4 linked regions of the Saccharomyces cerevisiae S288C genome follow. Changing the gene in region 3 together with the main gene of any one other region gives a genetic interaction. Each region holds a gene or a part of one and is shown on either strand. Other genes may lie near its edges.

Region 1 (8,111 bases), on a different chromosome or scaffold from region 3:
CACAGGTTCACCCTCTAAATAACCTGGAGGCAAATATCTGTGTGTTCTTAAGACATGCTCACTAATGGATCTATCTCTGATTTCATTGATATCGTCTGTCACAACAAATAGTAAATCAAAACGAGACAACAGCGAGTCCGGTAGGGCAATGTTTTGGTGTGGATCTCTATTGACATCGTACTGCCCAAAAACGGGATTTGCGGCAGCAATAACACTACAACGAGCATTTAATGTTGTGTGAATACCTGCTTTGGCAATCGTCACCGTTTGTTGTTCCATTACTTCATGAATGGCGACTCTATCCACATCTGTCATCTTATCAAATTCATCAATACATACAACCCCGCGGTCAGCAAGAACCATGGCACCAGCCTCTAGTCTTCTTTCACCTGTTTCCCTATCAGTAGTGACCGCTGCGGTCAAACCGACACCGGAAGAACCTCTACCAGTAGTAGCAATTGCCAGTGATGCTGTATTCAACACAAACCTTAGCAATTGGGACTTGGCAGTGGATGGATCACCCACCATTAGGATATTGATGTCACCTCTTAAATGCGAGCCATTTTCTAAATTTTTCTCCACACCTCCCATGAGCATCAATAAAATGGCTTTCTTTATATGGTCATGTCCATAAATAGAAGGCGCTAAAGATTGAGACAAGATATCGAAAATGTCCTTTTTTTTGGATAGTTTATTGATATTTCTTATATCGAAATCTGTCAACATTTGTCTCGCAGCGACACCCGTGGATCTGGCGTGGAGAGGATACACCGTATTACCTAGGATCAGAGTTTTGAACCCGATCAATGTATTAGAGTTGGACTGGTTCATGCCACCAGCACCAAGCGACTTGAATACCCCGACAACGTTAACTCTGTCACCTGGCTTGGTCTTGTCCACAAGGTCGTCATCGAGAATGACGTCAATGGACCTGGGAAGTTGGCCAGCGGGGGCCATTTCGGGCATTTCTTGCACAGTGATACGCTGATGGTCTATGAACGTACTATACCCATATTCGGTGGTTAGTTTGTTACCTTCAGTGTCCTCCGTTGGATAGATGGCAGGCGTTGGGATGCGGGTGGTGAGAGTTGTAGTAGCATCTGTATAATCTCTGTAATGGAATCTACCAGTCTTTGCCGCGTAGTGGACAGATCTGATAAGCTTTGGCCTGACCAACGAAGTCTTAGTTACGATACCCTCAACAGAGACCAGTTTGTTTAAATGTTGTGCCGTTAGAGTACGAGGAGACAATGCGTGTGCACCAAATGAGCCTTTGAACGAAAGCTTCCAAGGATGGCGAGACGATACTGCAGAGGCATTGGGATGTGGAACATCGTCCATGGAATCTGCTAGGTCAGTAAGCGCCTTTTCGGCAGGCGGGATGAAGTATGCTGGTTCGACTAAAATGCCCGACCAGAACGACCTGTCGAATTCTCTCAAGTCATCAAGCGAGATGATAATCCTGTGAGGGAGTATATTCAATGAGGTGGACGATGCTGCTTTCTTTTCCTTTTCAAGATCATCACCGTCGTCATCACCTAGCAAATCTCGTTCGTCTGCGTCATCTTGATCATCGTTGTAGTTGGCCGCGTTATTGCTGTTGTAAACTTGTATGGACCTTACAGAGTCTCTGTATGAGGTGAAAGTATCTAAAAACTCTTGAAATCTGCGCACTCTGTCACCAAACACAGCGTCTGGAGCGAAAAAAGTAGTAGCGTCTCCATCAAATCCCGTTGAGCCTTCCATAATTGACGTTTGTATCTTTTTGGTGCGCTTATAGTGGAGTTCAATACGAGCAGTAGGATGAAAATGCTTCAAGGAAAAGAGCGTAGGCCTTTTCAACTTGAAAGAAGATTAAGAACCTATCTTTCGAGTTTTGACCAAATTTTTCTTTTTTTTCCTAAAACACGAGTTTTTACCCATTTAGGAAAAGTAATTGTTTCTTCTACCGCCTCGATCTGACGAACAAGGGAAATTGAAAAAAAAGAGAAAAATAACGACAACTGCAGGACTCGAACCTGCGCGGGCAAAGCCCAAAAGATTTCTAATCTTTCGCCTTAACCACTCGGCCAAGTTGCCATAACTCATTGAAAATTCTGTTTCCCACATAGGTCAAAACTAATATTTCCCTTGGCCTGCTCTTCAACCTCCCCCGTTCTGAGAGTTCCCTTTTTTTTTTTTTTTTTTTTTTTTTGAGGGGGAAGCGCCGGATTTGCCACCGACCGGCTGCTTGCAGCCGGTAGATATGCGCACATGAAAATCATCCTCCCCAATGAATTACACTGCCTGCATAAGGAAAAAGAAAAGTGTGAAATACGAATAAAAACAAAGTATATTATTGCTATATAGATGATAAATAACAAAATAAATAGAAAATAAAAAAAAGGATTTATTTGTGTATGCTTTAGGAGAACGAAAAAAAAATTGCAAAGAAAAAAACCCGGTTCAGCGAAGAGTACATGATGTGATGGAAGGGGCGTCGGAGTTTTTTTTTCTTTTTTCATTTATATCCCATGCCATGATGTTAACCGGTTTAATCGGTTCTAGCAGCTTCCTTGAAGGAGATGGCGGCTTCTTCACCCATAGCGGAGATGATGGTAACCATCAAGTCCTTACCTTCATCAAAAGCAGTTTGCAAACTGTCACCCAATTCACCTTCTGGAGCCTTGACATCATCCTTAGTGTCACCGTCCATGTTCATCAAAGACAAGAAACCGTCATCAATGTCCAACAATTGGTATTCGTTTCTCTTGACAACTGGAACTTCCATGTTGTGAGTAGATGGAGACAAATCTTCCAACTTCTTACCAGTGAAGATATCAATGGCAACCAAATGGACTTTAGCGTGACCGTGCTTACCAGTCTTAGAAGTGGACATGTCGACAATCTTACATGGTCTACTCTTGATGACAACGAAACCGTTCTTTCTCAAGGCAGAACATTGCATTGGGTAGGTGGCGGAGGAACCAGCGTCAGCAGTTTCAAAGGTATGTTCTTCGTCAGACATTGTATATATGAGTTGGTATTTGTGTGTGTTTGGGAGTCTATGAGTAATTGGCTACAGAAGTAGAATCGTTAGAAAGAAGGAAAGGAAGCAATTGATAGAAGGAGAGGAATTTAGGAAATGAGGGATTCCAATGTCAAGATATGGCAAAAACCTTGTGCATTATATAATCGTGGAACACGACGATCAACGCGGCCAAAAGCCGATCGACGACGACGACGAAAAAAATTTTTATTACCACTGTTCCTTCACCTTCGAAACTTTTTTTCGGGCGACGGCGTTTCTTTTAGCTCCTGCGGTATGTGCGGTGCGGGAGGTCCCTTGTCGCCTCACACGGACCCGATATAACGCTACGGAATACATCGAGGGGTATGGGTGGATGATATCACTGCAGCAAGGTCTGGGTGTTGCAGAATTTTACCGGCCTTGGCCCCTCAGCGTCCAGCTACAGCGTTATACTACTCCAAGTCGCCGTTCCCGTTTTGCTGTTCTCACCCCTCAGAGAAAATGCCACCAGAACGAAGCCAATGGTCAGGACTTATCGTTACTTATACTGTTGAGCCGGATATATCCGCTGTGCTCTAATACCAGCCAAACGAGAAGGGTAGCGGCAAGAAAGGGTAAACTTTCATGATGAAGTTAGCTAGTTCCTTTTACGATTGCTACTATCTCGTTCAACTTGGCCTGCGCTGTTGATGAAAATAGCAGTGACTGCAGAGAATAGAAATGAACCGGGCTCATCTGGTCTAGTTGCCTTCTTTTTTTTATTTTTTTTCATTTTCCTTTTCTTTTCTTTTCTTTTCTTGTCTCACTATGTTGGTTTAATCAATTCGTAATCCCTTTACCAACGCATTGTGTTCAATTTTCCTCTTGTGTGGGGTCGCCCGCCTTGTCTCATCGTGAAAAAATTGCGTAAGATGAAATCATGAAAACATGAAATAAAAAAAATAAATAAAAATAACTACACGATTCAAAAACGCCAAGATCTGTTAGTAGAGACAGCAAGCATTGCAAAACCATTCATCACTCAGTTGCTAGGCGAGTGTTGGTGCGATTTACCCTCATCATCTTTTTTTCGCTCCATTAAACAGTTCCTTGTGGCTTTCATGCAAAGTGTACGTCCATAATGAAGTATAATAACAGAAAACTCTCGTTCAACCCTACCACAGTAAGTATCGCTGGAACGTTGCTTACGGTGTTCTTTCTCACAAGACTCGTGCTTTCGTTCTTCTCGATATCGCTATTCCAGCTGGTAACTTTCCAAGGAATCTTCAAGCCCTATGTTCCAGATTTTAAAAATACTCCCAGCGTAGAGTTCTACGACCTACGAAATTACCAAGGCAACAAAGATGGTTGGCAACAGGGTGACCGCATCTTGTTTTGCGTGCCACTGAGAGATGCTTCTGAGCATCTTCCCATGTTTTTTAACCATCTGAATACCATGACATATCCGCACAACCTGATTGATCTGTCGTTTTTGGTGAGTGACTCTTCGGATAACACCATGGGCGTGTTACTATCCAATCTACAGATGGCGCAATCGCAACAAGACAAGTCCAAAAGGTTTGGTAACATCGAAATCTATGAGAAGGACTTCGGCCAAATCATTGGTCAGTCCTTTTCTGATCGTCACGGGTTTGGCGCCCAGGGCCCCAGAAGAAAGCTGATGGCCAGGGCTCGTAATTGGCTTGGGTCCGTGGCCCTGAAACCATACCACTCCTGGGTTTACTGGAGAGACGTGGATGTCGAAACCATCCCCACTACCATCATGGAGGATCTAATGCATCACGACAAGGACGTCATTGTCCCCAACGTCTGGAGACCTTTACCAGACTGGCTGGGAAACATTCAACCCTACGATTTAAATTCATGGAAGGAATCAGAAGGGGGTCTTCAATTGGCGGATTCCCTAGACGAAGATGCTGTCATTGTGGAAGGGTACCCAGAGTACGCCACTTGGAGACCTCACCTGGCATACATGAGAGACCCAAACGGTAATCCAGAAGACGAAATGGAATTGGACGGTATTGGAGGGGTCTCGATTCTCGCGAAAGCTAAAGTATTCAGAACAGGCTCACACTTTCCTGCATTCTCCTTTGAAAAGCACGCAGAGACAGAAGCATTCGGTAGGCTCTCCCGCAGGATGAATTACAATGTCATCGGCTTGCCCCATTATGTCATCTGGCACATCTACGAACCTTCCAGCGACGACTTAAAGCACATGGCTTGGATGGCTGAAGAGGAGAAGCGGAAACTAGAAGAAGAGAGAATTCGCGAATTTTACAACAAGATCTGGGAGATTGGATTTGAAGATGTCAGAGACCAATGGAACGAAGAAAGAGATTCAATCTTAAAAAACATTGACTCCACTTTGAACAATAAAGTCACTGTAGACTGGTCTGAAGAGGGAGATGGCTCGGAGCTGGTGGACTCAAAGGGTGACTTTGTCTCACCAAACAACCAACAACAACAACAACAGCAACAACAACAACAACAGCAGCAGCAGCAACAGCAACAGCAACAACAGCTCGACGGCAACCCGCAGGGGAAACCTCTTGATGACAACGACAAGAACAAGAAAAAACATCCTAAAGAAGTTCCATTAGACTTCGACCCTGATAGAAACTAGGCTCGGTTTTTTAGTGACCTACATATGAAGTACGAATTCATATAGTTGTACATATATACCGATAATAATATCAAACCTCTATTCTTTGGTCTTTAACTTTTCTTTGAGTGAATTACAATACCATTGTTATATCAATCACTATACACGGCTCGGTGGCGAAATTGAAATTTTTTTATTTTCTTCTCTTTCATTATGGCTAGGCAAGAAATAGCGACAGCAAAACTTAAGAAAAAATGATAGAACAAGGTCCCATCCAGTATTGACTAGTAGCTAAAGCTAGAAGGTACACTTAGGTTTTTCTCCCTGTTTTTAAGTTTGAACCATTGATAAGGCCGTTCGCAGACAAGCTTGCTACCATCCAATTTTCCTTCCTCTAAAGACTTAATAAAGGCATCTAACTCCACCTTTAAATCACAGATCACACAAAGACAACATACAATAGAAAAATGGTTAGCTTAACCTTTAAAAATTTCAAGAAGGAAAAAGTTCCTTTAGATCTGGAACCTTCAAACACAATTTTAGAGACCAAGACCAAGCTTGCTCAATCCATTTCTTGTGAAGAATCTCAAATAAAACTGATCTACTCGGGTAAAGTGCTACAAGATTCCAAAACCGTATCGGAATGCGGGCTAAAAGATGGGGACCAAGTTGTCTTCATGGTTTCTCAAAAAAAGTCCACGAAGACCAAAGTAACAGAACCTCCAATTGCTCCTGAGAGCGCCACTACCCCCGGAAGAGAAAATTCTACAGAAGCATCCCCCAGTACGGATGCTTCTGCAGCTCCTGCAGCCACTGCTCCCGAAGGCTCACAACCGCAAGAAGAACAAACCGCCACTACAGAACGTACTGAATCTGCCTCTACACCGGGATTCGTGGTGGGAACCGAGAGGAACGAGACCATCGAGAGAATCATGGAAATGGGCTACCAAAGAGAGGAAGTCGAACGAGCCTTGAGAGCAGCCTTTAATAATCCAGATAGAGCGGTGGAATATCTACTGATGGGTATTCCAGAAAATCTGCGTCAACCGGAACCACAGCAACAAACAGCCGCCGCAGCGGAACAACCATCGACAGCCGCCACCACTGCGGAACAACCGGCTGAAGACGACTTATTTGCACAAGCTGCCCAAGGCGGTAATGCTTCATCCGGTGCGCTTGGCACAACTGGAGGAGCTACAGATGCTGCGCAAGGTGGACCTCCAGGTTCCATTGGCCTCACTGTAGAAGATTTACTATCGTTGAGACAGGTCGTTTCAGGTAACCCAGAAGCTTTAGCCCCATTGTTGGAAAACATAAGTGCTAGATATCCTCAATTACGTGAACATATCATGGCAAACCCAGAAGTGTTTGTGTCCATGTTGCTAGAAGCCGTGGGTGACAATATGCAAGATGTTATGGAAGGTGCGGATGATATGGTGGAAGGAGAGGATATAGAAGTTACAGGAGAGGCTGCTGCTGCAGGACTGGGACAAGGTGAAGGTGAAGGTTCTTTCCAAGTTGACTATACCCCCGAAGACGATCAAGCTATTTCGCGCCTCTGTGAATTGGGCTTTGAAAGAGATCTTGTTATCCAGGTGTATTTTGCGTGCGATAAAAACGAAGAAGCTGCAGCAAATATTCTATTCAGCGATCATGCCGACTGAGATTGTAGTAATGTTATGGCTTGAAGTATCTTCACTTATTCTCGACAATGTTGCATGATTTTTGAGCCAAGGGAAAAAAAAAGCTTACGTAGAAATCAATAACGTATGTGTATTTATATATGCTAGAAGGGAAAGAAAAGAAAACAGAGAGATGGTAATATTAATCTCAATAATAATAATAATAATAATAATAACAATAATAATAATAATAACAACAACAAATAATGATTATACTGCTTTTAGCGCATATATACAGTTTTGTTAAAGAGTTTCAAAATTCTTGTATACCTGGTACTTTTGCCCATCGGGGACAGGTGCATTACCAGGTCGGGAAGCTAACCCAGTAGCTATTCCAACGCCGGCCGCTGCGTCCAATTCCAATGGATTATCGCTCAAGAACAGTACCTCGCTAGCCTTCGCACCGATATCCCGCAAGATGTTGGCGTAAGACTGTGTTTCGGTTTTCTTTCCAGAAGTGTTGATGTCGAAATAACCATCTATATAAGAATTCAAATCCAACGAATCATGCGCAGGCGCGTTGGGATCCTGAACATACCCGAACAGCAATTTCTGTGCCTTTACAGATCCACTAGAGTAGATAAACACACGCTTCTTCCTCTTGATAAAGTCAATAGCATCTGCATAAACGGGCGCCTTAATCTGCCCAGATTCGTATCCGTGAGCCCAGACGTAGCCTTGCAACTGTTTCAAGATTGGATCCTTCACATCCTTGGCCACCAACTCCAAAATATGCGCCTGCAACTGCTCCTTATTGTCGATGTGAAACTGCGACAGAATGTTGGAAACCGGGGAGTCCCTTGTATCCTGTTGAACC
Region 2 (3,818 bases), on a different chromosome or scaffold from region 3:
AATTAAGCAGCACAAGTGTCTGGCGCAATGCCTGACTACTGGGAAAAGTCGAAGCATTTGCACGGCGTCCATTACGATGGTTAAGGCAGTTTACGACGAATTGCGGAGTCAAGTTTTAATATTTATAGATAGCCCTGTCACCAGTATCGGGTGTTGTTTCTACCCAAGCGCCTGCCAGCCTCAAACAATACAACAGGTATTGTTTTTGGACAGCGGAATGCTGCGATGCAACAGTATCGCAGCATGGTACTGCTTTCCTCTAGTCTTTTGTCGAATGTGAGCAAGCAGCAGCTGAGACTCTGCCCAACCATCGTTAGCCAATCAGCGTCGAGAACGGGTCCCATGCCCGGCCGCGGCCCGTTTCGAGAAGATTTTTAAGTGCGATCCATCCTCCCGATCTTTTTATCTACAAGAACCATCGCAAAGAACAGAGTGATCTGCAAGAAGAAGAACTACAAAGATCAAAAAGTCTCATCTCACCATGTCTGTGTCTGCTGCTCCTGCTATTCCACAGTACTCTGTCTCTGACTACATGAAATTCGCCCTAGCCGGCGCCATAGGGTGCGGGTCGACTCACTCCAGTATGGTCCCGATCGATGTCGTTAAGACGAGAATCCAACTGGAACCTACCGTGTACAACAAGGGTATGGTCGGCTCTTTCAAGCAAATCATCGCCGGAGAAGGTGCTGGTGCGTTGTTGACCGGGTTTGGTCCTACTTTGTTGGGTTACTCTATCCAAGGTGCCTTCAAGTTCGGTGGTTACGAAGTGTTCAAGAAGTTCTTCATTGACAACTTGGGTTACGATACCGCCTCTCGCTACAAGAACTCTGTTTACATGGGTTCTGCTGCCATGGCCGAATTCTTGGCAGACATTGCCTTGTGTCCCCTAGAAGCCACTAGAATCAGATTGGTCTCCCAACCACAGTTCGCTAATGGACTCGTCGGAGGGTTTTCCAGAATTTTGAAAGAAGAAGGTATCGGCTCTTTCTACAGTGGGTTCACTCCAATTTTGTTCAAGCAAATTCCTTACAACATTGCTAAATTCTTGGTCTTTGAACGTGCCTCCGAGTTCTACTACGGGTTCGCCGGTCCAAAAGAAAAATTGTCCTCTACTTCCACTACTTTGTTGAATTTGCTTTCCGGTTTGACTGCTGGTTTGGCCGCTGCCATTGTTTCCCAGCCAGCAGACACTCTGTTGTCCAAGGTCAACAAGACTAAGAAGGCTCCTGGCCAATCCACAGTCGGTTTGTTGGCTCAGTTGGCCAAACAGTTAGGATTTTTCGGTTCCTTTGCTGGGTTGCCTACTCGTTTGGTCATGGTTGGTACCTTGACCTCCTTGCAATTTGGTATTTATGGTTCTTTAAAGAGCACTTTGGGTTGCCCACCAACCATTGAAATTGGTGGTGGTGGTCATTAGAAATGGTCTTGATTGATACATGCATATATATTCTCTCCTCATCACCACCGGAGCCCCTTTTTTTTTTCATATTCTAAGAAAGAGTCAACAAAGGAAAGAAATAAATAAATCTGTTTAAATGTACTCTATTCAATCACTAGTATTCTTATTCCATGTATTTACTGACTTTGCAAAAGTCCAAATATCTGTAAATTAACATGCTATTATAAATATATATATATATATATATTTGAATTTTCTATTTTTTCATCTACAAAAGCAGGTTATAGCTCCGTTAAACCCTTTGCTCATTGAATTGTCCTTCACGGTTTTTTGGTGGAAAACACAACATGGAACATAACATTTAAACATCGTTCTCAATCCATTTCATCGCAGTAACATATTTGGTCGGGCACATACGGACACGTATATGTTATACAGATAAATATAGCTTAAATATGGCTATATTTACACAACACAATGCTCGTGGGTCGTTACCCGACCATGCAGGATCGCCAGTATTCTTTATTTTTCCGCCTTCTAACATAAAGAAAAATAAACAAAAAAGTATTTGATCGAAAAGTAAAATAGGTAGACACCACGTATTGGCGACCCGATCTGGAGCCGTTTAGAAAGTCAATCATCACAAGGCCTAAAGTTGCTAACCACCAGCCATGTCCGGAATAATTGACGCATCTTCTGCATTAAGAAAAAGAAAGCATTTGAAAAGAGGTATAACCTTCACTGTGATGATCGTGGGCCAGTCCGGATCTGGTAGATCGACTTTTATAAATACTTTGTGCGGTCAGCAAGTTGTAGACACTTCGACGACAATCTTGTTACCCACAGATACGTCCACAGAAATAGACTTACAATTGAGAGAGGAGACGGTCGAATTAGAAGATGATGAAGGTGTCAAGATTCAACTTAATATCATCGATACTCCGGGATTCGGTGATTCTCTCGACAATTCTCCATCTTTCGAAATCATTTCCGACTACATTCGCCACCAATATGATGAAATCTTATTGGAAGAAAGTCGTGTGAGAAGAAACCCAAGATTTAAGGACGGCAGAGTTCATTGTTGTCTTTACTTAATCAACCCAACTGGCCACGGTTTAAAAGAGATTGATGTGGAATTCATCAGACAGTTGGGATCCTTAGTTAACATCATCCCTGTGATCAGCAAATCAGATTCCTTGACAAGAGATGAACTGAAACTGAATAAAAAATTGATCATGGAGGATATCGACAGATGGAACTTGCCAATTTATAATTTCCCTTTCGATGAAGATGAAATATCAGACGAAGATTACGAAACCAATATGTACCTACGTACACTTCTACCTTTTGCTATTATTGGATCCAATGAAGTTTACGAAATGGGCGGCGATGTTGGGACAATTCGTGGCAGAAAGTATCCATGGGGCATACTGGACGTGGAAGATTCATCGATCTCTGATTTTGTTATCTTAAGGAATGCGTTATTGATCTCTCATTTACATGACTTGAAAAACTACACACATGAGATATTATATGAAAGATATAGAACCGAGGCATTATCAGGTGAATCTGTCGCGGCAGAATCCATACGTCCAAATCTGACAAAATTGAATGGTTCGTCGTCATCGTCCACCACAACAAGGAGAAACACAAATCCCTTCAAGCAAAGTAATAATATTAATAACGATGTTCTCAACCCAGCATCCGATATGCACGGGCAAAGCACTGGCGAAAATAACGAAACCTACATGACACGTGAGGAGCAAATACGGTTAGAAGAAGAGCGACTAAAGGCATTTGAGGAGAGAGTTCAGCAAGAACTGCTGTTGAAAAGACAAGAACTGTTGCAAAGAGAAAAGGAATTAAGAGAAATTGAAGCCAGGTTGGAAAAAGAGGCGAAAATCAAACAGGAAGAATGAGTCCGCTTTTGGCTTCCTCACTTATTTCTTCTTTCTCTATATATATAAAGAGTGAGTGTTGTATATAAGTAAATACATCTGGTATATTATTTTTTTTTTTTCTTCATTCTTAAAAAGTATTAATATCGATCAGCAAAAAAAAATTAACAAAAAAGTTCCTTATTATATCTGCGTAGAAGTACTTATTTCTGCTCCACCTTTGGAGTATTTTTCCAAAATTGTGATGCCAAATGAGTAATGAAATAGAATTTCTTGTGTGGATCGTCATTATCGATTTGGTTTGGACAGTTAAAGGAGAATTTTGGAAAGACCAGAACATCACTTAGCAATTTTGGTTGATTTAGGTTATGGAATAATTTCCATGTAACCTTCTCCCTGACACCACTTCTCATAAAGTCATTGAAATACGTGAAAATAGTGTCAGTCCACAACCCAGAACCCGTCCAACTCATAATATTCAGATCATTCCTTAGATTGACGTTTAGTTGGTCGTCCCTCTT
Region 3 (10,016 bases):
TTGACTAAGGGTGCCTCTGCTGGTGAAGGTTTGGGTAATGCTTTCTTGTCTCACATCAGATCAGTCGATTCTATCTACCAAGTCGTTCGTTGTTTCGATGATGCTGAAATTATCCACGTTGAGGGTGACGTTGATCCAGTTCGTGATTTAGAAATTATTAACCAAGAACTAAGATTGAAAGATATTGAATTCGCACAAAAGGCTTTGGAAGGTGCTGAAAAGATTGCCAAAAGAGGTGGTCAATCTTTGGAAGTCAAACAAAAGAAGGAAGAAATGGATTTGATTACGAAAATCATTAAATTGCTAGAGAGTGGTCAAAGAGTTGCTAATCACTCCTGGACTTCAAAAGAAGTTGAAATTATCAACTCCATGTTCTTGTTGACTGCTAAGCCATGTATCTATTTGATTAATTTATCTGAAAGAGATTACATCAGAAAGAAAAACAAGCATCTGCTAAGAATCAAGGAATGGGTAGACAAGTACTCTCCAGGTGACTTGATCATTCCATTCAGTGTTTCTCTAGAAGAAAGACTATCTCATATGTCCCCAGAAGATGCTGAAGAAGAATTGAAGAAACTGCAGACAATATCTGCCTTGCCAAAGATTATCACTACCATGAGACAAAAGTTAGATTTGATTTCCTTTTTCACCTGCGGTCCAGATGAAGTTCGTGAATGGACCATCAGAAGAGGTACTAAAGCTCCACAAGCTGCTGGTGTTATTCATAACGATTTAATGAATACCTTTATTTTGGCTCAAGTTATGAAATGTGAAGATGTCTTCGAATATAAGGACGATTCTGCCATCAAGGCCGCTGGTAAGTTGATGCAAAAGGGTAAAGACTATGTCGTTGAAGACGGTGATATCATTTACTTCAGAGCTGGTGCTGGTAAGAATTGATTTCGTGCACTAAAGTTGACTTTTCTTTATTTGGTTTAGTTCCCTACTATATATCATCATAGAAATTTTCAACATGATTTTCTTGAAAGAGAAACGAAAGGAAAAAAGCAATCTCGCGAGTGGATGGCATCGGATTTTATGTATGTGTGTATGTATGTTTATTATTCCCGCATGTTTACGCCCTTAAGCCCAATTAATAATTTGAACTGACAAGCATAATCATTTGACTTTCATTTTTTTTACTATTTTTTTCTATTTACAATGTAACTGTTAAATTGAACGACCCATAAGTTCGGTATCCTAGCTGTGTCTTTTTCTTTTTTTTTTTGCTCAATTGAAGATAAAAGAGTACCATTTTTTTGACCTACGCTCCCGTTCTTCCTTTGGCACATACGCCTGAATTTGTTCACGAATCTTTTCGAGACCAGATTGCTCATCGTAGTTTCTTCCCAACGCATCGATAAACTGTCCTTCAGGGTCGATCAAATAGAAAAATATCGAATGGTCCACTAAGTAATCCTGGTTGGGCTTGACATCACGTGGAGTTGAAAAATATACCTTGTATTTTTTGCATACGCTTTTCACTTGGTCGTACGTACCGGTTAAACCAATGATAGCTGGGTGAAAATCGCTTAAGTACTCTTTCAAGACATCCGGTGTATCTCTTGCAGGATCACATGAGATAAACAATGGCTGTATCTTTATATGGTCTTTATCATCTAATTCAGAAATCCAATACGTTAATCTGTCAAGCTCTTCTGGACAAATGTCGGGGCAATGACTGAATCCAAAGTATAAAATGGAAAACTTACCCTTCAAATTCTCCTCAGTGAAAGGCTTACCATTAAAATCTGTTAAATTGAAAGGACCGCCAAGTGCTACTGAACCGTAAGCTCTGTTAGCATCTGCTTCCTTTTCAGTTTCTAGCAAGCGTCTTTTTCTTGATAAATAGGCATACGTCCCACCACTTAGCAACAATAGAGCAATGGTGGCCTTCCATCTGGAAAATTGAAAAAACCTGGTTCTAATAGGCTCTGGTTCATTGATTTCATCACCTAGTTGTAGCCTATCTAGTGGTTGTCTTGCACTTGGGCTTTCCTTGTTATCACTCCTCAAACAACATCCCGTTGAAAACCCTCTTCGATATGCGCCTCCATTATAAAAGAGTCCTTTTATTGAGACGTTCGCTTGTCTGAATAGGGAACGACAAGCATATTTTCTTGAACTATTCAACATTTTACTCTCGCTTCCCAAATTCCCCTTTCTATGGTGATATTATAAAAGATCCTGTAAGCTGCTGTTTTACGAAGGTATTGTAGACGATCCGTAGCCCTCTTTAGCAATTGTTTGACTACTATCGATGGGACTTCTCGAAATTCATACTTTGTTAGGTTTTCTTTTTTATCCCTAAAAAGAGCGAAAGGATCAAGCAGAAAATTAAAACAATAGGCTACATCATCGAAGTTTCAAAGACCGGCATATCCGTCCATTTTTGAAAACACCCCACCCAAAATTGTAACTATCGACAGATTCTATGATAGCTACCCCGGGATGAAGGGCAGTCTTCTATAACTTGGGGCGGCAAGCAAACCAACCGTCATAGTTAATAAACCACACGTTGGTTATTTAGATTTCTCGTCCTGCTTTTCTGTCGCCAATAGGGCAACCTTAGAAAAGGTTTGAGGATAGTGACTACATGCAATCAAGGTAAAAGCGTTATCGAATAAGTAACAAGCATTCCGTGCTAAATTGACGAGAATTGGCAAGATGCGTCAGCACTATTTGGAGCAAACACACCAACTGGATGTCTTAAAAGTCAATTCAACGACCAATTTATGTAACCAGCGTGACTAGGGCAACGAATTTACGTCTTTTTTCTAAACTGCATATGCTATGAAATTAAAGATATACTGCCTCTATAAAAACATTTATATTTTCCCTCCTTTGCAATGGAAATGAAAACGGCGGTAAAAAAATTCGTGAGAATAAAGAGACGAGTACAAAAGTTCAATTAAAAACGCCAGGAACTGTTCTTTATCTTATTCTCTCCGTACGCTGTGTCACAAAGCTCTTGTATTGTGTCTCGCTTTCTTTTTCCAGATCTATGAAACCAGAATCACACCGCAGCAGCGACGGCTGTACCGTATTTAAGAGAATCCGCATGGGAAAAGATTACAAATTACCCTAGACAAATTTATAGAAGCGGTGCTTGTGAGATTTACTCACATTCTAGGATTCGAGAACTAAGCATTGTAGTTCTTATTTACATCCTTGAACAAATACCTGCCTATCTCCGCACGTACTACGTAGCCACAAATGTATATATAATCGTGCGTTGTATTTGCGCCCTCACCCACATATTTGACATGTGCATGAGACTGGATATTTCTTGAAGCATATTCAATAGCGTCGATGGACAGTTAGCCCGCAGTTGTATTGCATTCAGCACCTGCATAGGTGACCCTCTTTGGCTGCCTATTTGGATAAAACGCGTTATTGGCGCTGGCGCAGACCTCGAAAAAAAAAATCAAAAATGAAAATAAGAGCATAAAAATAGAAATCAAAAATATTCTTTCCTGTGTTTCAGATTTACATTCAGTACCAACATTTCGACTTGTAGTAAATCCTGCTAGAAGAATCACATTGGTAGACGGTTATAAACGTTTACCGATTTGCAAAGTTCTCGAGTATTTTTGGTGTAGGTCCCATTTTCTTCAAAGGTCCTGTTTAGACTATCCGCAGGAAAGAAATTAGAATGACCGGCTTGAATGGAGATGATCCTGATGACTACTATCTGAACCTTAATCAAGATGAAGAGTCTCTACTTAGGTCAAGACACAGTGTCGGCTCAGGAGCACCTCATAGACAAGGCTCTTTAGTGCGGCCCGAAAGAAGCCGACTGAACAATCCTGATAATCCACATTTTTATTATGCGCAGAAAACGCAGGAGCAGATGAATCACCTGGATGTTTTACCATCAAGTACCGGTGTAAACCCAAATGCAACTCGTCGGAGTGGCTCCCTGCGCTCCAAAGGCTCAGTGAGAAGCAAATTTAGTGGCCGCGAAACGGATAGCTATCTTTTACAAGATATGAATACTACTGACAAGAAGGCTTCCGTTAAAATAAGTGATGAAGGTGTTGCGGAAGACGAATTTGATAAAGATGGTGATGTGGACAATTTCGAAGAAAGCTCCACGCAGCCCATAAATAAGTCTATCAAACCATTAAGAAAGGAAACGAATGATACATTGTCATTTTGGCAGATGTACTGTTATTTCATTACGTTTTGGGCACCTGCTCCAATTCTTGCTTTCTGCGGGATGCCAAAGAAGGAAAGACAAATGGCGTGGAGAGAAAAGGTTGCTTTAATTTCTGTCATCTTGTACATTGGTGCGATTGTGGCTTTCCTGACTTTTGGTTTCACTAAAACCGTTTGTAGTAGTTCGAAACTACGTTTGAAAAACAACGAAGTATCAACAGAATTTGTCGTAATTAACGGTAAGGCTTATGAATTGGATACTTCCTCGCGTTCCGGTATACAAGACGTTGAAGTAGATTCAGACACCCTTTATGGGCCCTGGTCAGATGCTGGTAAAGATGCTTCGTTCTTGTTTCAAAATGTGAATGGTAACTGTCATAACCTTATAACTCCAAAGAGTAATTCTTCCATTCCCCATGACGATGATAATAATTTAGCATGGTATTTTCCTTGTAAGTTAAAGAATCAAGATGGCTCTTCGAAGCCAAACTTCACAGTTGAAAATTACGCAGGATGGAACTGTCATACGTCTAAAGAAGATAGGGACGCATTTTACGGTTTAAAGTCGAAAGCTGATGTTTACTTCACTTGGGATGGTATAAAGAACTCTTCTAGAAACTTGATTGTTTATAATGGCGACGTTTTGGATTTAGATCTTCTTGATTGGTTGGAAAAGGATGACGTTGACTATCCCGTTGTATTCGATGACTTGAAGACTTCAAATTTACAAGGTTATGATCTTTCGTTGGTTTTGTCAAATGGGCATGAAAGAAAAATTGCGAGATGTTTGAGCGAAATTATTAAAGTTGGTGAAGTAGACTCCAAAACCGTCGGTTGTATTGCCTCTGATGTCGTTTTGTATGTTTCTCTGGTATTTATTCTTTCAGTGGTGATAATTAAATTCATAATTGCCTGCTACTTCCGTTGGACTGTAGCTAGGAAACAAGGTGCATATATCGTGGACAATAAAACAATGGATAAACACACAAACGATATCGAGGATTGGTCTAATAATATTCAAACAAAAGCTCCTCTAAAGGAAGTAGATCCTCATTTGAGGCCAAAGAAATACTCAAAAAAGTCGTTGGGACACAAGCGTGCTTCAACCTTTGACTTGCTGAAAAAACACAGCTCCAAAATGTTTCAATTTAACGAATCTGTGATAGATCTAGACACCTCCATGAGCAGTTCACTACAATCTTCTGGTTCATACAGAGGAATGACAACAATGACCACTCAAAATGCTTGGAAACTCTCGAATGAAAACAAAGCTGTACATTCCCGTAATCCATCTACTTTGTTGCCTACATCCTCGATGTTTTGGAATAAAGCGACTTCCTCTCCTGTACCAGGATCATCGCTGATTCAGAGTCTTGATTCGACGATTATACATCCCGATATCGTTCAACAACCACCACTGGATTTTATGCCATACGGGTTCCCATTGATTCATACTATCTGTTTTGTTACTTGTTATTCTGAGGATGAAGAGGGTTTAAGAACCACTTTAGACTCTCTTTCTACCACAGATTATCCAAATTCCCATAAACTACTGATGGTTGTTTGTGATGGTTTAATTAAGGGCTCGGGCAACGATAAGACTACTCCAGAGATAGCGTTAGGAATGATGGACGACTTTGTCACCCCACCTGATGAAGTTAAACCTTACTCCTATGTGGCAGTGGCATCAGGCTCTAAAAGACACAATATGGCCAAGATATATGCGGGTTTTTACAAATATGACGATTCTACAATTCCACCAGAAAATCAACAACGTGTCCCAATCATTACAATTGTGAAGTGCGGTACTCCTGCAGAGCAGGGGGCCGCCAAACCCGGTAACAGAGGTAAGCGTGATTCTCAAATTATTCTGATGTCCTTTTTAGAAAAAATAACATTTGATGAAAGAATGACTCAATTGGAATTTCAGCTTTTAAAAAATATTTGGCAGATTACGGGGCTAATGGCAGACTTCTACGAAACGGTACTTATGGTTGATGCTGATACTAAAGTCTTTCCCGATGCTTTAACTCATATGGTCGCTGAAATGGTTAAAGATCCTTTGATTATGGGTCTTTGTGGTGAGACCAAGATCGCTAATAAGGCACAATCTTGGGTAACTGCAATTCAAGTGTTTGAGTACTATATTTCGCATCATCAGGCTAAAGCTTTTGAATCTGTCTTCGGTTCGGTAACTTGTTTGCCGGGATGTTTCTCAATGTATCGTATAAAATCTCCTAAAGGTTCAGATGGTTATTGGGTACCTGTATTGGCAAATCCAGATATTGTTGAAAGATATTCGGATAATGTTACAAACACTTTGCATAAGAAGAACTTATTATTACTTGGTGAAGATAGATTTTTATCTTCATTAATGTTAAAGACTTTCCCTAAGAGAAAGCAAGTATTTGTTCCAAAAGCTGCTTGTAAAACTATTGCCCCTGATAAATTCAAAGTCTTACTTTCCCAGCGTCGAAGATGGATTAATTCTACGGTACATAACCTTTTTGAATTAGTTCTAATCAGAGACTTATGTGGCACTTTCTGTTTTTCCATGCAATTTGTGATTGGTATTGAATTGATTGGTACTATGGTACTGCCGTTAGCCATTTGCTTTACTATTTATGTCATTATTTTTGCCATTGTATCAAAACCTACACCCGTAATCACTTTAGTTTTACTGGCAATTATTCTTGGTCTGCCCGGCTTAATTGTTGTTATAACTGCTACGAGATGGTCGTACCTATGGTGGATGTGCGTATATATTTGTGCTTTGCCTATTTGGAATTTCGTACTACCTTCATATGCGTACTGGAAATTTGATGACTTCTCATGGGGTGATACGAGAACTATTGCGGGAGGTAATAAAAAGGCACAAGACGAGAATGAAGGTGAATTTGATCACTCAAAGATTAAAATGAGGACATGGAGGGAATTTGAAAGGGAAGATATTCTCAATCGGAAGGAGGAAAGTGACTCCTTCGTTGCATAGACAGTATGAAAATATTTTTACTGTGATACTTACAAGTTGATATATGGTTGTGTGTAACTTATTTATTTGAGAGGTATTTTAACACACCTTAGAACTAAAACTTAATAAATAAATATTTCTCTATCTTTAAAGGCACATATTACGTGGCTAAGGCAATTACAGCTGATATACTGTAAAACTCATGTCGCCACTAAATTCTTCTAACACGCGTTCTGTCTCTTTCCAAGGGACTCCGAATATGCCACTATTTATCTGTGGCATTTCCAATTTATATTCCCCTATTGGGTATTTGATGTGGCCGTTTAAATAGTCACCGATTGAATCTTCACTTGTTCGAGTTTTGTCTTTTGCTTCTCTAAAGGTCTTCAATTTATCTAAAGCAAGTTTTGTATAATTCAAAATACTTTGCTTTTCTCCATGACTTGAACCTCCAAATGATGATGTAAACAAGCAACAAATCAGCAGATCTGAGTTTTCGTAACTGGGAAGTAATATGCATTTGCCTAGTAAATTAGAACCATACTTTTCGCATACTTCAACGTAATCTTTCTCTGCTTTTGGGTAGCGCAAAGCAAGTTGATAAGCGATCCCACCACCCCACGAGCCATTGCAGTTGCAAGAATGGATGAGGATCCTAGCATATGACTTTGGTTTTAAGATGTTACCTTTGACATAAGTGATGTTCGACATACCTGTAACTTGATGCTATATTTATCTTGGAGAAGATACTAATAAACTCAAACTTTTCGTGTAGAAATCTGGGCTTCAAGTTCGCATAGCATAACGAATCGTAAAGTTATGCATATGGCATAATACAACAATTATCCATTTTTTCTCGTGTGTAAAAAGAGAAAGGAGAGAGGAAAGAACGCTAAGCCATAAAGCAAACAAAAAATCGAATGAAAGTGAGTGAATATATTAAAACCAGTGAAATTAATGCTCATTGAAGGCCAAATGCACAAAGTAAATGCTAAAGAGAACGTAAATAGAAGTAAGTAGTATAGATAAGGATTAATATCATTACACATGAAAATTTGAAAAATATTTCAGATTAATGCAGAAAGTGATGTAGATATGGAGAGCTTAAATGAAAGTCTTTTCGTGTTCGTGTTCGTAGACACTAATATTGTCATCTACCAGGTCATCCCTCTCAATTGTGTCTTTCCACTCTTCTTCAAAATCATCGACATTGGCCCATCTTTGGAACCAGCCCTTGTCCTTTATAATGTTGTTAACAGGGCACCCAGGTACAGGGAAGAAGTAACACAGAGCAGTATAAGAAGAAAAACTCAAGCCATATCCTACCCAGTAACTTAGGTAATATAGTTTCATAGCTCCATCAGAAACCTTTATAGCGGGAGCGCCCACCTCCGCGATGAAACCGGGCAAGCAAGGAGCCACCCCACATAGATATGCAGCCAAAGCTCTCCAATTGATACCAAACCTGTTTCCGTACATATAAAAAGAGCCCTTTTGATGGGAATATATGTGTGTTAGCTTGATATATCCTCTTCTAACAACAAAGTAATCTGAGCAGACAACACCGGCAATACTGGACAAAAAGATAGCATATGCGGACAAAGCCATTGTAAATTTACTTGATGTTGCCATTAAATTCCATGGACAAATACACAGCGCCATGGCTGCACAAAATAATGAACCACGCTTGATATTGATAAACTTGGGGAAAATAGCGGACATATCAGTTCCACACGATAATGAGTTTGCAGAAATATTAGTACCTAACTGAGCTACGGCGAAAACAAAAGAGATTAAGAAAACACCAGCTCTTGTGCCCTTATTATAAGTAGTCTGTAAAAATTTTTCTAGCACATCGAGTGGCGACCAGTAATTAATACCGTATATTTCATAACCAGCTGCGGTGACTAGAATTCCAATTAAACAAGTGATGGAAAACAAAAATGGAATGCACACTAATTGGGACCATAAAGCGGAGTTAGGGTTTTTTGAAAATCTAGAGAAATCTGGAGCGTTGATTACCATTGTGGAGAAATTAGCCATACAACCCATTAGTGATCTTAGAAAAGCCCACGAAAAGGCAGAGCCATGAGGTTGTACATCGGTTAAAGATCCTAAGGCAATACGCCCGTGAGCTCTTCTGATAGCCCAAATTAAGAAACCAAAAGAAGCAAACGGAACCAAGACGGCTTTAACAGTAAACAGGTGTCTAATTTTGTGAGGTGGAACCAGTAAAAATGGAAGACTGGCAGCCCAAAAGATAAAAAAACACATGAACTCGTAAGTAGTAGCATTCGGTGATCCAAAGTGATCTGGGATTTTGTCTTGTAAATCTTTTCCAAAGATAGATTTCAGCATTAATGATACGGGAGTTGCCGCAATATAAGCTTGGACACTATACCAAACGATGGCCATGACGACTCTGTTAATAACGGGCCATAAAGAGAAGAAAATACCGAATGATGCTCTAGATGATATAGGGAATGACAAATGATAAGCAGATCCAACTCTAGAGGCCAAAACAACAAAAGCACCAACGAAACCGTACCCAATCCAAATTGTTATCCAACACTGCCACCAATTTAGACCCAGTTGTAGACCTGTAGCTGCAATTTGCCAAGTGTTGATATTGAAACATTCAGCAAGCCAGAAGTAACAATAATTGTACCAGGACCAAACCCGCCTTTCTTTTTCGACGGGCTTCAAGTCCTGGTTGTACATAAATGAATCCAGAATAGAAACACCCAAGATTGATTTGTCAACGACCACATATTCATAATAGATTTTCTTCCAGAATGAGCTGTATTGAGGTTTTTCTGAGCTTACTTTTTCTTCAAAGCTCGATGCCTCATAAACTTCGGTAGTTATATTACTCTGAGATGAC
Region 4 (7,883 bases), on a different chromosome or scaffold from region 3:
GGCCTGCCAAGGTGTTTCTCCCTTTTTTTCTCCGATTTCTTTGTATAAACTAAATAATATAGTGATTACTAATGGAATGGCGGTATTATGCACCTAACCTGTTCATTCTGCCACAGATTACGTAAGCGATTTATTGCCGGCACTTGTTGTCTTAATGACCGAGTCACCAATGTGGAACGATAATTTTCTCTGACTCAAACCTGTTAATTTTTTTCTACTTCGTTTCGTTAGCGACGACGTCAAGCCGCAGGATCCTGTCTGCCTTGACCTCTTCTCTACCTTCAGAACTTACACTTTTCAGGTAAGATGACCTTTATATAAAAGTTGACACTATTACAGTTGTTTATAAACGTCTGAAGAATGAGACGTTTTTATAAAATGAATAAAATGCATATTCTAAGTTTAAAACAACATTTTCAAAGTGTACGATTGTAAAAAGAGAGGCAATTAGAGAATCTCAAACAGGTAATAATAATGGGCAATCAGTCATTAGTTGTGCTTACGGAAAGTAAGGGTGAGTATGAGAATGAGACAGAACTACCTGTTAAAAAATCGTCACGAGATAATAATATCGGAGAATCTTTAACAGCAACAGCTTTTACGCAGTCTGAAGATGAAATGGTAGATAGCAATCAGAAATGGCAGAACCCAAACTATTTTAAATATGCATGGCAAGAATATCTTTTTATATTCACATGCATGATAAGTCAGCTTCTAAATCAAGCAGGCACTACACAGACTCTTTCGATCATGAATATTCTTTCGGACAGTTTTGGCTCAGAAGGAAACTCAAAGTCATGGCTGATGGCATCTTTTCCGCTAGTTTCAGGCTCATTTATTTTGATTAGTGGCAGACTAGGTGACATATACGGATTAAAAAAAATGTTGTTAGTAGGATATGTTCTGGTTATTATATGGTCTTTGATTTGTGGGATTACCAAGTATTCTGGTAGCGATACTTTTTTTATTATTAGTAGAGCCTTCCAAGGGCTAGGGATTGCATTTGTTTTACCTAATGTGCTGGGAATAATTGGTAATATATATGTAGGTGGTACTTTTCGTAAAAACATCGTGATTAGTTTTGTTGGTGCGATGGCCCCTATTGGAGCAACTTTAGGTTGTCTTTTTGCAGGACTGATCGGTACCGAGGACCCAAAACAATGGCCATGGGCATTCTACGCGTATAGCATAGCCGCTTTCATTAATTTTGTGCTCTCCATATATGCCATTCCGAGTACTATACCAACAAATATTCATCATTTTTCTATGGATTGGATTGGTTCTGTTTTGGGCGTGATAGGTCTCATTTTATTAAATTTTGTGTGGAACCAAGCTCCTATATCGGGTTGGAACCAGGCTTACATCATCGTAATTTTAATCATTTCTGTGATTTTTCTTGTCGTTTTCATCATTTATGAGATTCGATTTGCCAAGACTCCACTATTGCCGCGCGCAGTTATAAAGGATCGTCATATGATTCAAATTATGCTGGCTTTATTCTTTGGATGGGGCTCTTTTGGCATCTTTACGTTTTATTATTTCCAATTTCAATTAAATATAAGGCAGTACACGGCATTATGGGCTGGTGGAACTTACTTTATGTTTTTAATTTGGGGTATTATTGCCGCCTTACTGGTAGGATTTACTATCAAGAATGTGTCTCCATCAGTGTTTTTGTTCTTTTCTATGGTAGCATTCAATGTGGGCTCAATAATGGCAAGTGTTACACCGGTTCACGAGACATACTTTCGTACTCAGTTAGGAACGATGATAATTTTAAGTTTTGGGATGGATCTTTCATTTCCTGCTTCTTCCATTATCTTTAGTGATAATTTACCGATGGAGTACCAAGGCATGGCTGGGTCATTGGTGAATACTGTTGTCAATTACTCCATGTCCTTGTGTCTCGGTATGGGTGCCACAGTAGAGACACAGGTCAATTCAGACGGAAAGCATCTTTTGAAAGGCTATAGAGGTGCTCAGTACCTTGGGATAGGATTGGCAAGTTTAGCATGCATGATTAGCGGGCTTTACATGGTCGAAAGCTTCATAAAAGGCCGCAGGGCAAGAGCTGCTGCAGAATACGATTGCACTGTGGCTTAGCGGAAAGCGGTTATTAAGGTAAATAGATAGAAATACACCGCTGTCATGCGATTATATAGACATGGGGCATTTAGACACTGAAAGTCTTCATATCTCAACATGCAACTAGTAATAGTACAATTTTTAGTACCCTTTAATCTTTATTGTTCGCTCCCTAATAACGAAGCCTTGAACTGTAACCAGATCCCAGGTTACCCCTTATCCTTAAGAGGTCTTTTATTTACTCTACATAATATATATTTTTCAATCCATTGAAGAGGATTAAAAGAAGAAAAATCAATACCGAACAAAAAAACAAAACGAAATAAAACAAAACAAAAAATTAAATTAAATTAAATTAATATTAAATGTCATCATGATTCTTACTCTGATTGTCTTCTCTTCTCTCTTTCCCTTGACGCAATTTCCTTCAAATCGTCATCGCTCGGTTCATAAATATGCCAAATAGTATAATGCGGTAAACCACCAACCCTGTACCCCATTTTCTTTGCCATTTTACCAAATGCTTCTGTTTCTGCATGATTTTCAAAAGTAAATGCAGGAAACTGTACCCCGTTTCTAAATATTTTGGCCTTCGCCAAAATAGAAACTCCCCCTACACCGTCCAAGTCCACCGCTTCATTTGGATCACCTTCTGCATCTCTGATATAGGCTAAGTGAACTCTCCACGTAGGATATTCTGCATAGCCTTCTACAATAACATCATCTTCGTCAAGAGTCTTTGCCAATGCTAGTGCCTCCTGAGATTCCATCCAAGAATTCAAATCATATGGTTGTTCAGTTCCCAAAAATGTAGGTAGTGGTCTCCAAACGTTAGGGACGATAACATCGTAGTTTTTGCTCATCAAATCTTGAATGACTGAACCAGGGCACAGCTCTACATCAGCATCTCTCCAATAAACCCATGAGTGGTAAGGTTTCAAAGCATTGGCAGTTAACCAATTTCTTGCCCTCCCCATTAGTTTTCGTCTTATACCTTGAACCTTAACGGCATGTCTGTCACTAAAACCTTGTCCAATTACTTGGCCAAAATCCTTTTGGAAAATTTGTACTGATCTAAATGGCTTGTCATAATTTTCATGGAATGGTGGTGAAAATGCCTGGTGGACACGGTTGATATAACCTTCGTCCATATATTTAAGATATAATTTATCGGTGCCTTTTGTTTGCGAATCAATGACAGCGTCAATCTCTTGAAAAATCTGAGACAACGTGCCATTTTGTAAGTGCCTAGAATACGCTATTAAAGCATCCAACGTAGTGTCACCTTCTGAGCAATCACTGACTAAAAAGGCCAGATCAATCAGCTCGTGTGGATAGGTTAGGTTCATTAAATGCTTGAACATTAATGGCAATACATCCGCAGCGTTTCTTAGTGGAATGCATAAAAGAATGTGATCACGTGTTTCCAATCCATTCGGAGCACCTTCAAAATTCGACAGGTCGTACTCCTCAACAGTGGAATCAAAAAGCATGTTGAGTTCCCTTTGGTATTTTTCATCATCCTTGGGAGTCAACACTTCTGAACCAAATTGTGATATTAGATAATGTTGCACACCATCATCAAATTTTGAAATCACTTCAGGATCGATATCCTCAAAATCATAGTCGTAATATTCTTCATCTTCTAGGTCGATAGTCTTGTAATTTTCGGAGGATTTTGAGGAACCCAACAACGACCTACCATTTTGCGTGGATACACCAATGCCCATTCCGGAGAGAAATGATATAAAGAGATATAACGACAGAACGGCGATAATAATAAGAGATGTGATACTCACCGTAAGCTGGAATTTAGACGGTGTGGAGCGCGGCTGGTACCTGTATTTGCCCTTTAATGAGTTGGAGTTATGCTCTGAGCGTTTGTCCTTGATGTTGTTCGAGCTACCGTTCCTTGAAATGGGCAGGCTTAGTCCATTGTCCATGGCTTTCTTCTTTATATTTGACCTTAAATTAAAAAACATGCCCATTTTTTTGTGTTAATTGGTAGGTCAACAAGCTCAAATGACTGTTACTGCACCCTTACGTCTACTTCTTTCACGTTACCATTTACTAATTTACAAGACGTAAACTTTCTTTGATTCTAAATATTTCAAGCCTTGTTTCGGTATAGTCGCCGAAGAACGAAAAAAAAAAAAAAAAAAAATTCCTCTCCGGAGATAAATTGAATACGTATTATTATATTAGGGACAAACACTGGTTCACTGAAAGCAGTTGTTTACATAGTTATATCGTGATCTGTGGCTATATCTGCAGGAGGAGATGTCGGGGCGTTTTCATTAGGCGTCGAATGAGGAGAGTGACTTGTAGTAGCATCGATATTGGTTGTGTTATGTGCTACAGGTGTAGTATTTGTAGTATCTTGCGCTGTCATTGTTGGCGGTTCCGATTCCGCGACCAGGTTCTCCGCAGGCATACTCGACATTTCATTCTCATCTTCACTGCTCCCTAAGATGCCAAATAAGTTTATGTCATCGTCCTCATCCTCGGCGTTTGTGTTGATAACTATGGTAGAGTTGTTTAATGCATTAGGGGTGGTCGTGTCGTCTGCAGCGTCCCTTGCGTGCTCGTTATTTAGTAGAAGCTCAAGATCATGGCCTTCATCTTGTTCCCTCTTTGTTCGTTGTGAAATAAGCTCTTCTTGCCGACGTTTTAGCGATTTTGCTCTTTCTTCCTTGGCCATTCGTATTTTTTCCTTCTTCAACTTCTGGACCTTAGGTAAATTGTGCATGAATAGTGTCATAGACTTACGAAATTGCAATTCTATGGTTTTTTGTATGGTTTTGTGAGACTGGTGAGGACTCTCTGGAAGGTAGAGAGTTTCAGAAATTTTCAAGAATGGATTTTTTGTTCTTTTCAACTGATTCACTTCAAATTTCGTGACACGTTCTCTCGCCAATTCCACTCTATACTTCGCATACTGCTCGATATTGTTTTCATTGAAGGACTTTTCAGTTATGGTTGGTTTCCTTTCTTCCAGCGCGTTGCCCCAAATCTCCAATTGTTGCTCGATAGCGTCCTCATCGTCTAAACCCGGCGGTTGCGGGGTATTTGACGCTGATGATATGTGGGAGAGACTTTTGTTCAAGTTCAATAGTGCCTTTTCAGACTCTTGGCTTTCTTTTACTATTTCTTTCTTGATGGTTTTTAGATCAGTAATTGGATGGTTGAACTCAGGTGTAAACTTATAGGTATGGTCAGGCGGAAAGTTGGGCAGCCAACTCGGTATCTGTTTTTCCAGTGGGTTAGAGGGAGGCAGCAAAACGTTGATCTCGTTCTGTTGCTCCTCGATATTATTCAATTCGTCCTCTTCATCTTCTTCGTTATGCGGTAAAGCAGCAAGAGACGACCAGCTCATCAATTTTTCATATTCCGTGGAATGCTTCGATTTGATGAATTCTGAGGCCTGAAACTGCTGATAAAGGGAGGGCGCATCCAGGTTAAACTCTCGAAGCAACAATTTCAAATCTGCTTGAGAAGCTTGCGACCTTCTTTGTAAAAGTGTTAAATTGTGCAGGTTCCGAAACATGCCGTCCATTTGGACGGTCACGAGGTTGACCAGCTCATCCAATGCAAAGTTTGAAATGCAGATGTTCAACGAATTCAACTGGAAAAGTACTGTTTTCTTTAGAATTTCAACTACGGGAGCATCTATTTCCAAGTGACTAATTTCCGTCAAATCCGGTAGGTTCCTCAGCTGAACTATGGTACTTTGGGTACCGGTACCACTTTCTGACGTTTTGGAAGTCATTGCCCTTTATGAGTCCCTCAATTACACGTTTGTTTGCTTGCTTGCCTCTCTCTCCATTGCTTTTACTCTCTTTTTTAAAGAGTTCAAGATTTTCTACATAAAAGCATCGGGTAACACTCCCATATACACCATTTGTGCTTAAGCTGGCTTCTACCAGTCGCGTTTCAAGCGACTTTATTGATCGCATCAGCGTAGAACAAGAACAGAACTATGTATGCAAACAGGACTAATCATCTTCAGTTATCTTACTTTAGTTTGCAACTATTTATATCATGTTTTCTTTTCAACTTCTTTTTTTTTTTTTCGTTTATGAAGCCGATGCTAATGCATCAATTTTTTTTTTTTGGTGATGAGTTTTGAAAGAAAATGAAAAAAAAAAAATTTCTATTATTGTCAGTGGAGTTTTTGAACAGATCACCTTGTGAATCTACAAACTGTCCTAAAGTATATTGGAGCAGGACATTGGGTGATGGCGAAAACTTTGGCACAAGGAAGGAAACCTGGAAGCGGCAGAAAGCCCGGAAAAGGGAAGACGTTGAGAGAGGGAAGAAAGCCTGGCAGTGGTAGGAGGAGGAGGCAAGATACTGGGGGTAAAGAGACCGACGGGTCTCAGCAAGATCAGGAGTCGCGTCTTATTAGTTCCAGGGACATGGAAGCTGTGGACGCACTGAGAGAGTTGACGCACAGCCCGTCGTCTCACTCAGCTCATAATTCATCAGCAGCACCACCGCCGCATGCAGCAGCGGCGTCAACTTCATTGCCTCCATCTCTGGATTATACCCATCAGTCATTCATGGATCAACAACAACAACAGCAGCAGCAGCAGCAGCAACAACTACTACAGCAACAGAGAGTGGACGTCGTTCCGCCCAAGCCGTTCATCACCCACAAGATCCTGTTATCTTCAACGGGAAACTCTGGCGGCCACGTGAATTCAAATTACAACGCCGACCACAGCATTAATCATAATTCAAACCACAACCTTAACAGCAACGTGAACGTGAACATGAACTTTACTATAAATGGGAGCAATCAAGACCCGTCATCTTCTTTCCTGATGGGGCCCTACAACTACTTACAGCGGCCTTTCATTGTGAAACCATATCTTGATCTGTCCACAAGCACAGCAGCATCAAATCAGCCACGGACGCAACCATCGCCGGCAGCACATATCACTAAGAATTCCGATTCTACAGAGAAAAACGCAACCATATGACATTCATTTCCAGCATACCACTAAAACATTCGTATATGCCACATAATAACTAGTTGAGAAAACCATAGATATTTATATTTATATGTATTTGTACTTCTTTGAGCAATGTATATTTAAGACTGATCTCAACTTCAGCAACTGTTCAAATTCACTGTTTTTCCTAATTAAGCACAACATGAAAAACTAGAATTTTAGAAAGAAAAGGAAAAAGAATACCAGATGGTAGTTAATTTCTCACAAAAGCACTGCCAGGTAAAGGTATACAGCAAGGATGGACTCTCTTGAAGCTAGATTACAATTCATTCAGGTCCTGAAGAACCTGCAAAAGACGCTGCACAAGACCAGAGACTCTATCACATCATCGTCGACCACCACACCACCGTCATCGCAACAAAAGCTGAACAATGACCCTATACAGTTCTACTTGAGAAACTACAGACATCACTACGAGGACTTCCACCAATGTTTGTTCGATACAACCATGAAGATGGACCCACTAGATAGACTGGACGTAGTGATATACTATGTTAGAATAATAAGAAACTTATATCCGCATAGCCATTCCAATACCAATGTTACAAAAGTGTTAAACGAAGTGCTACTCATGGACATAGACTTGGTTTTTGAGCTTTGTCTGCCCTGCCAGGACTGGAAATCCCTCACGAATCAAGCCACCTGTAAAGAGCTATTCCTTGACTTATCCAAACTAATCCATTACGACGCCACCAGCGTCACGCACACACCATCAGACACCACACTCATAGACGCTACTACCTGGTACAGTGTCAAGACAGAGAGGACTACAAAGGACTA

The links.
Region 1: mutations in CHS3 (region 3) and ANP1 together harm fitness more than expected from each alone (negative genetic interaction), as found in Saccharomyces cerevisiae (4 studies listed by BioGRID, with this or other methods).
Region 2: mutations in CHS3 (region 3) and CDC11 together harm fitness more than expected from each alone (negative genetic interaction), as found in Saccharomyces cerevisiae (4 studies listed by BioGRID, with this or other methods).
Region 4: mutations in CHS3 (region 3) and VAN1 impair growth when combined (synthetic growth defect), as found in Saccharomyces cerevisiae (4 studies listed by BioGRID, with this or other methods).

Annotation. Positions count from the first base shown.
Region 1 is NC_001137.3:80,572-88,682, reverse strand, and holds ANP1 (Anp1p), read left to right. Parts: upstream 1-4,130; coding exon 4,131-5,633; downstream 5,634-8,111. Other genes in the region: MCM DNA helicase complex subunit MCM3, read right to left, coding at 1-1,746; MTC7 (Mtc7p), read right to left, coding at 2,085-2,504; HYP2 (translation elongation factor eIF-5A), read right to left, coding at 2,534-3,007; UTR5 (Utr5p), read left to right, coding at 3,138-3,638; RAD23 (Rad23p), read left to right, coding at 6,080-7,276; putative acireductone synthase UTR4, read right to left, coding at 7,538-8,111. UniProt on the Saccharomyces cerevisiae protein: Involved in the organization of the secretory pathway. Required to maintain a functional Golgi apparatus.
Region 2 is NC_001142.9:574,854-578,671, reverse strand, and holds CDC11 (septin CDC11), read left to right. Parts: upstream 1-2,070; coding exon 2,071-3,318; downstream 3,319-3,818. Other genes in the region: MIR1 (Mir1p), read left to right, coding at 482-1,417; HOC1 (alpha-1,6-mannosyltransferase), read right to left, coding at 3,501-3,818. UniProt on the Saccharomyces cerevisiae protein: Septins are GTPases involved in cytokinesis that assemble early in the cell cycle as a patch at the incipient bud site and form a ring approximate 15 minutes before bud emergence, which transforms into an hour-glass shaped collar of cortical filaments that spans both sides of the mother-bud neck.
Region 3 is NC_001134.8:281,565-291,580, reverse strand, and holds CHS3 (chitin synthase CHS3), read left to right. Parts: upstream 1-3,655; coding exon 3,656-7,153; downstream 7,154-10,016. Other genes in the region: OLA1 (Obg-like ATPase), read left to right, coding at 1-900; putative thioredoxin peroxidase SCO2, read right to left, coding at 1,231-2,136; POA1 (ADP-ribose 1''-phosphate phosphatase), read right to left, coding at 7,310-7,843; FUR4 (uracil permease), read right to left, coding at 8,237-10,016. UniProt on the Saccharomyces cerevisiae protein: Polymerizes chitin, a structural polymer of the cell wall and septum, by transferring the sugar moiety of UDP-GlcNAc to the non-reducing end of the growing chitin polymer.
Region 4 is NC_001145.3:37,722-45,604, forward strand, and holds VAN1 (Van1p), read right to left. Parts: upstream 4,074-7,883; coding exon 2,466-4,073; downstream 1-2,465. Other genes in the region: ATR1 (borate transporter), read left to right, coding at 475-2,103; TAF8 (Taf8p), read right to left, coding at 4,322-5,854; DAT1 (Dat1p), read left to right, coding at 6,324-7,070; CTK3 (Ctk3p), read left to right, coding at 7,342-7,883. UniProt on the Saccharomyces cerevisiae protein: Involved in regulation of the phosphorylation of a number of proteins, some of which appear to be important in cell growth control.